Kluyveromyces lactis: one gene and its partner. The protein of the gene in region 2 interacts with the protein of the main gene of each other region in a biochemical or structural test. Links are inferred from orthologs where the notes say so. Each region holds a gene or a part of one and is shown on either strand. Other genes may lie near its edges. The genes, in order: CDC7 and MCM6.

Region 1 (3,447 bases), on a different chromosome or scaffold from region 2:
CCATGCCATTGTTCAATTTGTTCAAGAACTCTTTCCATTACTGGATCTTGAACGGGTTGATCTCGTTGGGTTACTTTGGTTACGGGTTCCCATTCGCTAACAAGACCTTATACAGAGTTTACAGCGCTCTCAAGATATCTGATTTCAGAGTCTTAACCGCTTTGTTTGGATTGTCAGAGATGTTCAATTTCTATATCCATGTCGCATTGCGTAGATGGGGTGATGAACAAAAGAGAAACGGTGTCACGAAGAGAGTCCCATTGAATTCTGGGTTGTTCAAACTACTTGTCGCTCCAAATTACACTTTTGAATCTTGGGCTTGGATGTTTTTCACTTTGTTGTTCAAGTTGAACTTATTCTCAGTTCTTTTCCTTGTTGTCTCGGTGGTTCAGATGTACTTGTGGGCTCAAAAGAAAAACAAGAAATATGGTACCAAGAGAGCATTCTTGATCCCATTCTTGTTCTGAATTCACCAATTACTATCACCACATACATATTTGACTTGGGGTATTATAGCATTCTCTCTTAAGTGAATAACGCTGTTTTACTCGTTTATTTACGCACTTGTTCTCTAACTTATGCCGTCAAAGCGTTGGCAACGTTTGTAAACTAAATATAATAATGATGATGAATGCAAAGTATTAAATTACTCTATCGGTTAAAGAACTCTATATATGAATGCATGTATATAAAAAATGAGTTCTGCTCTAAGTTATTGCGGTGAATATATGCTAATTTTCGTCAAATATTTTTGTTTCGTTCTGGATTTCATTACTCAACGACCCCGGTGAAGTGATCTTCTCTTCTTTGATCTCTATCAAGTAAATCTTCGTTCAGTTCTTTGAACCATAAATGTTCAAGAAGATCACTGGCGCTGGGTCTTTTGTATGAATTGAGTTCGAAACATTTTGCCAAGAGATCAAAACACCAAAAATGATCGTCCCAAACTGCTTGTTTGTAGCTCCGTATTTTATCATCAATATCCTCTTCATCGTCTGGGCCTAAACTTGGCGTGAGTTGTTTGTCAAATTGTGTCAAATAATCCAACGTCTCGAACGCTATGGAATACTCTGGTAATGTTCCTTCCTCCACTTCTTTGTCAAGTAAAGCTCTCACAAAACCTTGTAGCCCCCCAGGATATCCTTCCGAATGGAAACCTGGAACCTTTGTCATGTCTAGTCCCAACCCATGGAACTTGGCGACTTCTTGCATGGGCTTGATTCCAAAAATGCAACATATCTCCAGAAAGGCGTCAATATCATCCATGCTTTGAAAGATTGGGAACCTTCTGCTGATGAAACTTAACAGTATCACACCAACTGACCAAATGTCAATTTTTTGAGTTTGGAAAGAACATTTCATAAGCACTTCTGGCGCTCTGAACCCTCTCGTACCAGCTCTATTAGCTCTACGCTGCCTCCTAGTTTCATGTTTTGGGTACCCCTTACTCAATTCTGCCTTCATGAGATTCTCACTTTGTGCAGCACTTAATTCATTTGCCCCTCTAACGTTAAGCTGCCCGTTCTGAATGGATATCAACGGCAGATGTGATGTCTTTTTGTTGTTAGCATACGGTGAAGAACAATTACAAACCTTCTCTCCCTGGTCATTAACATACACACGATAGTTGAGGTCAGGCAAGTACAACTCTTCATTCTCTTCAGCCAAACCAAAGTCTACTAACACACCTCTCCCAAGTATTGGGTTGTATAGGAAATTGGTTGGCTTCACGTCTCTGTGAATGATTCCAAATGAGTGCACGTATTTCAAGGCGCTTAAAAGTTCAAACATGTACTTCTTTATCCCCTTGATAGGCATGTCTCGGTAGAAATGCCGGAATTCTTCATGCGGATACCAGGGCAAGACGACAACCACCTGATCCTGGTATCGAATCGCGTCGCATAATGGTGCTACGTTATTCGAATTTGACAGTAACTCTAAGAGTTTAAGTTCATTTTCAATTCTGTTCGGCGAGCTTGTCACGTATATCCTCTTGATAGCCACATGTTTACTATTCTTATCCCAGAAATGATCAGGGTATAACCTTCCAGATACGTTGCTAAGATCTTGAGCTTTATATACCGATGAAAAGGTCCCCTCTCCGATCTTATCCAGTAGCTTGTATCTGGATGACAACTGTGGTACCTTATCGTACAAATCATCCATTTCCTGGATGATTTCAGCGGGAATGTCATCCATAATTATAGTGTGTATATTGCCACCTAATATGAAGCCTAACAGACGAGCTGTATACCCATTGGTTTGACTCTACAAGAACAGATACGCTATATCCGTTGATTCTTTTATTCTATGCATTTTTTGGCGATGTTTTCATTTTTATTGTCGAAACCAAATATAATAACAAACAGCAGTAGTTCACATTGAAATGACATATATTAATGAACAGAAACAGGACGTTAAAAGGGGAATTGTCGAATAAAAGGACATTTACACACAAAGCAACCTTCATGTATAACTTATTAAATATGAAGTTTACATGGTTATGGGTATTTTCGCTTGTGATTGTCTGTCAAAGCTCACCAATAACGGTACAATTACAGAAGAATGGGAAAGAATGTGTTTACATTGATGTTGATGACAGTGACTGCAAAATATCTTATTACTTCGCAGTACAAGAGGGAGAAAACAATGCCTTCAGAGTAAGCTATGAATTATGGTCTCCGGACGATACAGAGTATCCTATGATTTACAAAGATGACGAAGAGCAAGGGCAATGGACATTTCCTGCGAAACATACTGGTGAATATGCGTTATGTGTCATTGGTGATGAATATCCTAAGATTGTTGATTTAGACATTGTACAGATATGTTTCGATCAGATACCGAAGCCAGCAGATCCTCGTTTGATAGGAGAGACGATAGATAGTTCACTGGTGAGGACACTGCAAGATTCTGTAAATATAATAGAGGATCAGCTTCAAGTCTTGGAAAGAAATTTGAAGCTGTACAAATCACGTGCAGAAAGAAACCACCACACTGTTAAATCAATAGCATCGAGGTTGGTCACCATATCAATTTGCTCCATAGTTCTTGTACCGACGATTGCTGTTCTAGAAATTATAATAATGAAGTATATTCTAGGTAAATTTAAATCATAAGTGATATATATATAATATGTATATCATGCATCAAATAAAGGTAATTCAAAATTGAAGAAAAAAAAATGATTAGAAGATGGGGTACTTCATGTTCTTCTGCGTTCAAGAATTGTCTGGCCGGGAGGGTTTTTATTATGTCCCATGCCGTCAAGTTCAAAAGCCAATTTTCCTCTAACATAGGTGTTTCTCACTAAACCTTTCAGTTTGAACCCATCATAGGCTGTCAGTTTGTTTTTGAAATAAACTTTATCGTTGTCGACAGTCTGATAGGTATTGATGTCGAAGATAACAAAATCTGCGTCGTATCCAGTTCTTAGGAAACCCTTCC
Region 2 (4,607 bases):
TAATGTTAAGAATGTGGACCGTGTGAACTCTCATGGACATTGCGGCCGTTGTAAAAAACACTTTGATTCGACAAATGAATGGATTGAACATCATATTGAAAATCGTGAATGTGAAGCTATTTTGCCAACTTTCAAGGGTAACCTGAAGAAGAGTAAAAAGTGTGGGAAGTTGAAAATGATCATGACCTCTGATGGACAGTCACGTTTCATTTCCAACCAAGCAACTATCAGCGAAGCCAAGGTGCCTATCAGCAACTTCATGCCAGAAAATAGGAAGAAGTTATCGAGTGAGTATTCTAAACCGGCTTCTGCCTCCCCGCCCATCAAACAAACCATATCTGACCTGGCTTTGGATAACACTTTTGCTCTGGCTTCAATACCACTAAACTACAATGGAAATATCAATGGAAATATCAATGAACATAACGACAATCAGAATTACGGTCATTTCGAAAACCAAGTGTATGGCAACGGTGTCCCATCTCTCGCTCCCTCGAACTCTGTCCCCTTCACAGGACAACCACAACTAATACCTCATTCGGGATCTCAAAATACAGCTACTCATTTACGCAAATGTACACAACCATTCGATGAATTCTCCTCATTGAACAAATCACCAGTTGAAGATGCAGCTTTGGACACCGTACGGTCTATCTCATCCCAATCCTCCCATGAACATACTGTTCTCCATAAAGAAATGAACTTCATATCTACCGATCAAAAGTCACAAATAAATCCTGATTGGGAAGTACTCCCCCTCGACATCGAGCAAGCAGGCATGTCTATGGAAGAAGAAGTGAAATTCACGAATAACTCGAATGAACCTAAGATTAATACTACTTTACAAAGACAAATGAATGAGTACGCTCTGGGTGAGAGGCACTTCAGAGAAACTCAGCAATTCATGAACTTTTTCAATTATACTTACAATTACCAAGAATGATTGAATCTTTTTCCATTCGGCTTTTCAGTGGACCTATGTCCACATTAACATTTTCGGTTTATTTTATCTGGTTACATTTTTTTCTTTTCTTTCGATTTTAGATTCATTTTCACTTCACCATTAATGCAACTGACTGTCAGGGGGGCTATTTTATCCCTGGCCAGCTTTCTAAAATCCTCGCGTCCATATACTTATATCGCTTAAATAAGATGAATTCTTACCTACGTATCATTAATTTTTATTATCAATTCACCGATGTTTTATCTTCTCCCTATCGAATCAAAAAGAAAAAATTCCATTAAATTGAACTTTGCTGCATTGGTTATCGATATGTTATGGTCGATAGTCAATGGTTTTCCTCGTGTTATACCTCAGTTAACTAATTTTGGATACTTGCAATACCTCTTTAGGAAAAGTAATATTGAATCGCCTTAACTCAGAAATTAAAAAAATGATTTTACATGTTGAAACACTTAAAACATGATCTTCAATGTGAAGGGCATCCAGGTTGAACGGCTCATCCAAAACCGGACATAGTTGGAGCAAGCTGAAAAAATCAGCAACAATGTCGGCACCATCAAGTCCTTTTCAACATGGTCAGCAATCATCCCAGCCTCCCTCTAGTGTAGGTGCTTATGATAGTTCACAATTCGATGATCAGTCGTTAGGAAACAGAACTCCCCAGTTTCCATCTTCTTCCAGAGGAGTGTCAGATGGAAATAGACATTTCGGTACTGATGACACTAGGCAAGGCATTAATTCAGAATCACAAATAGAGGCTATGGAAAATGATTCACAAGAAATTACTCCATTAGCCGGGATCAGGCAGAAAAACTTGAATGCCATCAAAAAGGTTGATGATAAAACTGGTGAAACTGTAAGAGAGGCATTCGAACATTTCTTGTCAAATTTCACCGCCCTCAATGATGAAACAGGTGAGATGGAGAAGGTTTATAGAGTCCAAATTGAATATATGAGATGGTACGAATTGAATACCATATACGTTGACTATAAACATTTGGCCGAGGTGGAAGACGGAGCTTTAGCGGTTGCTATTTTACAACAGTATTACAGATTTTTGCCATTCCTTTTATCTGGGCTAAGAAATGTGGTGAAGAAGTACGCTCCTGGATTATTATTAACATCTGACTCTGTACTTCCTTCTCAATCTCAAGAGAATTCTCAGGACCGCTCTTCGCAAAGAATAGATTCATCTTTGCCAACTTCGCAGGCTGCCACCGCAGGAGGCACTGCCCCATCTACCATTGCCACTAATCCAGATCAGGTTGAACGTGTTTTGCAAATCAGTTTCCTGAATCTCCCAACTGTCCATAGAATCAGAGATATTAGGGCTAATAAGATTGGTTCTTTAATGGCTATTTCAGGCACAGTCACGAGAACTTCGGAAATTAGACCAGAATTATACAAAGCCAGTTTTACATGCGAATTGTGTCGAGCTGTTATTGACAATGTGGAACAAGTTTTCAAGTACACTGAACCAACCTCTTGTCCAAATCCAACATGTGAGAACCAATCTTTCTGGTCATTAAACGTGAACAGGTCCAAATTCTTGGATTGGCAAAAGGTAAGAATTCAAGAAAATTCCAATGAAATTCCATCCGGTTCTATGCCAAGAACCTTAGATATTATTCTTCGTGGTGACTGTGTCGAAAGAGCTAAACCAGGTGATAGATGTAAATTTATTGGTACTGAAATTGTCGTTCCAGACGTTAGTCAACTTGGTTTGCCTGGTGTTAAAGCAAGTTCGACTCCAGATTCTAGAGGTATCTCACGGACAACGGAAGGATTGAACTCAGGTATTTCTGGGCTCAAATCATTAGGTGTTAGAGATTTAACTTACAAAATATCGTTTTTGGCATGCCATGTTGAAAATGTTGGTACCAGTTTCAATGGTAGTAGGATTAATGAGGAGGACGCCGATAAGACATCCAAATTTGATTATATTAACTTGAGAAACTATCAAAACTATGAAATGGCGGCAGAAACTGATCAAGAAATTTTCCTAACAAGGCTTGATTCTGACGAAATTAATGAATTAAAAGAGATGGTGAAAGATGAGAATATTTATGACAAACTGGTGAAATCGATTGCACCAGCAGTTTTCGGGCATGAAACCATTAAGAAAGGTATCCTTTTACAAATGCTTAGCGGTGTTCATAAAACTACTGTAGAAGGCATTAAATTGAGAGGTGACATTAATATTTGTATCGTTGGTGATCCGTCCACCTCAAAATCTCAATTCCTAAAATACGTCTGTAACTTCTCTCCAAGAGCCGTTTATACTTCCGGTAAAGCATCTTCAGCGGCTGGTTTGACTGCAGCTGTGGTGAAAGATGAAGAAGGTGGTGATTTCACTATTGAAGCTGGTGCGTTAATGTTGGCAGATAATGGTGTTTGTTGTATCGACGAATTTGACAAGATGGATATCGCAGATCAAGTTGCTATTCATGAAGCCATGGAACAGCAAACCATTTCGATTGCCAAAGCTGGTATTCATGCAACATTAAATGCCAGAACTTCAATTTTGGCTGCCGCTAATCCCGTCGGCGGTAGGTACAATAGGAAACTGACTTTAAGATCTAATTTGAACATGTCTGCACCAATTATGTCCAGATTCGATTTATTCTTTGTCATTCTTGATGATTGCAATGAGAAGATCGATACTGAGCTAGCTTCCCACATCGTAGACTTGCACATGAAGAGGGACTCTGCTATTAATCCACCATTCTCAGCAGAACAATTGAGTCGTTATATCAACTATGCCAAGACTTTCAAGCCGGTAATGACTAAAGAAGCTCGTGACTACCTAGTCAAAAGATATACAGAACTAAGGAAAGACGATGCGCAGGGGTACAGTAAATCTTCGTACCGTATAACTGTCAGACAACTGGAATCATTAATCAGATTAAGTGAAGCTATTGCTCGTGCTAATTGCGTGGATGAAATTGTTCCGAGCTTTGTCGCTGAGGCGTACGATTTGTTGAGACAGAGTATCATCCGTGTTGATGTTGATGACGTTGAAATTGAAGATGACGATAACTCCCCAGAAGAAAGTACGGAGGGTGAGGGCACAATACCTGCCACACAACACTTCGGCGAAACACTTGATACACAATCTCAGTCACCTTCTCAACCACTGAACGCCGACTCCGAAACGGGGGGTGGTCCTGACGTAGAGTCTCATGACAACGCTCATCACACAACACATAAAGTCGCAATATCATATGATAAATACGTGGAAATGATGAATCTAATTGTACGGAAAGTGGTTGACAGAGAAAAGAATGAAGAACCTGAAATGACAAAAACTGAGATAGTAGATTGGTATTTACAACAGAAAGAAAACGACATCAACACCGAAGCAGAATATTGGCAAGAAAGGAAATTGGCATTCAAAGTCATCAAAAGATTGGTAAAGGACAGGGTCTTGATGCAAATACATGGTCAAAACGACGATCTATCTGCCGATGTCGAATCCTCAAATGCCAAGACAGTGTATGTGATACATCCGAACTGTAGTGTTCTAGATGAAATCACCCCTAACCCACCTCAATGAAAACTTACTAACTAGACTAATTCAACTAAATTGACCATTTGCACTATCTTTGAAATTTGTAACCATAAATAGATATTTCACTTAATT

Evidence for each region.
Region 1: of the proteins of MCM6 (region 2) and CDC7, one has a biochemical effect on the other in vitro, tested with the Saccharomyces cerevisiae proteins (7 studies listed by BioGRID). The link is inferred for Kluyveromyces lactis from reciprocal best matches to the Saccharomyces cerevisiae genes MCM6 and CDC7.

Annotation. Positions count from the first base shown.
Region 1 is NC_006039.1:396,651-400,097, reverse strand, and holds CDC7 (serine/threonine protein kinase CDC7), read right to left. Parts: upstream 2,200-3,447; coding exon 772-2,199; downstream 1-771. Other genes in the region: trans-2-enoyl-CoA reductase (NADPH) TSC13, read left to right, coding at 1-467; ERP3 (Erp3p), read left to right, coding at 2,400-3,119; DAL1 (allantoinase), read right to left, coding at 3,206-3,447. UniProt on the Saccharomyces cerevisiae protein: Serine/threonine-protein kinase. Needed for the initiation of DNA synthesis during mitosis as well as for synaptonemal complex formation and commitment to recombination during meiosis. Required for HTA1-HTB1 locus transcription repression.
Region 2 is NC_006042.1:935,531-940,137, reverse strand, and holds MCM6 (MCM DNA helicase complex subunit MCM6), read left to right. Parts: upstream 1-1,508; coding exon 1,509-4,520; downstream 4,521-4,607. Other genes in the region: KLLA0_F10109g (C2H2-type zinc finger protein), read left to right, coding at 1-943. UniProt on the Saccharomyces cerevisiae protein: Acts as a component of the MCM2-7 complex (MCM complex) which is the putative replicative helicase essential for 'once per cell cycle' DNA replication initiation and elongation in eukaryotic cells.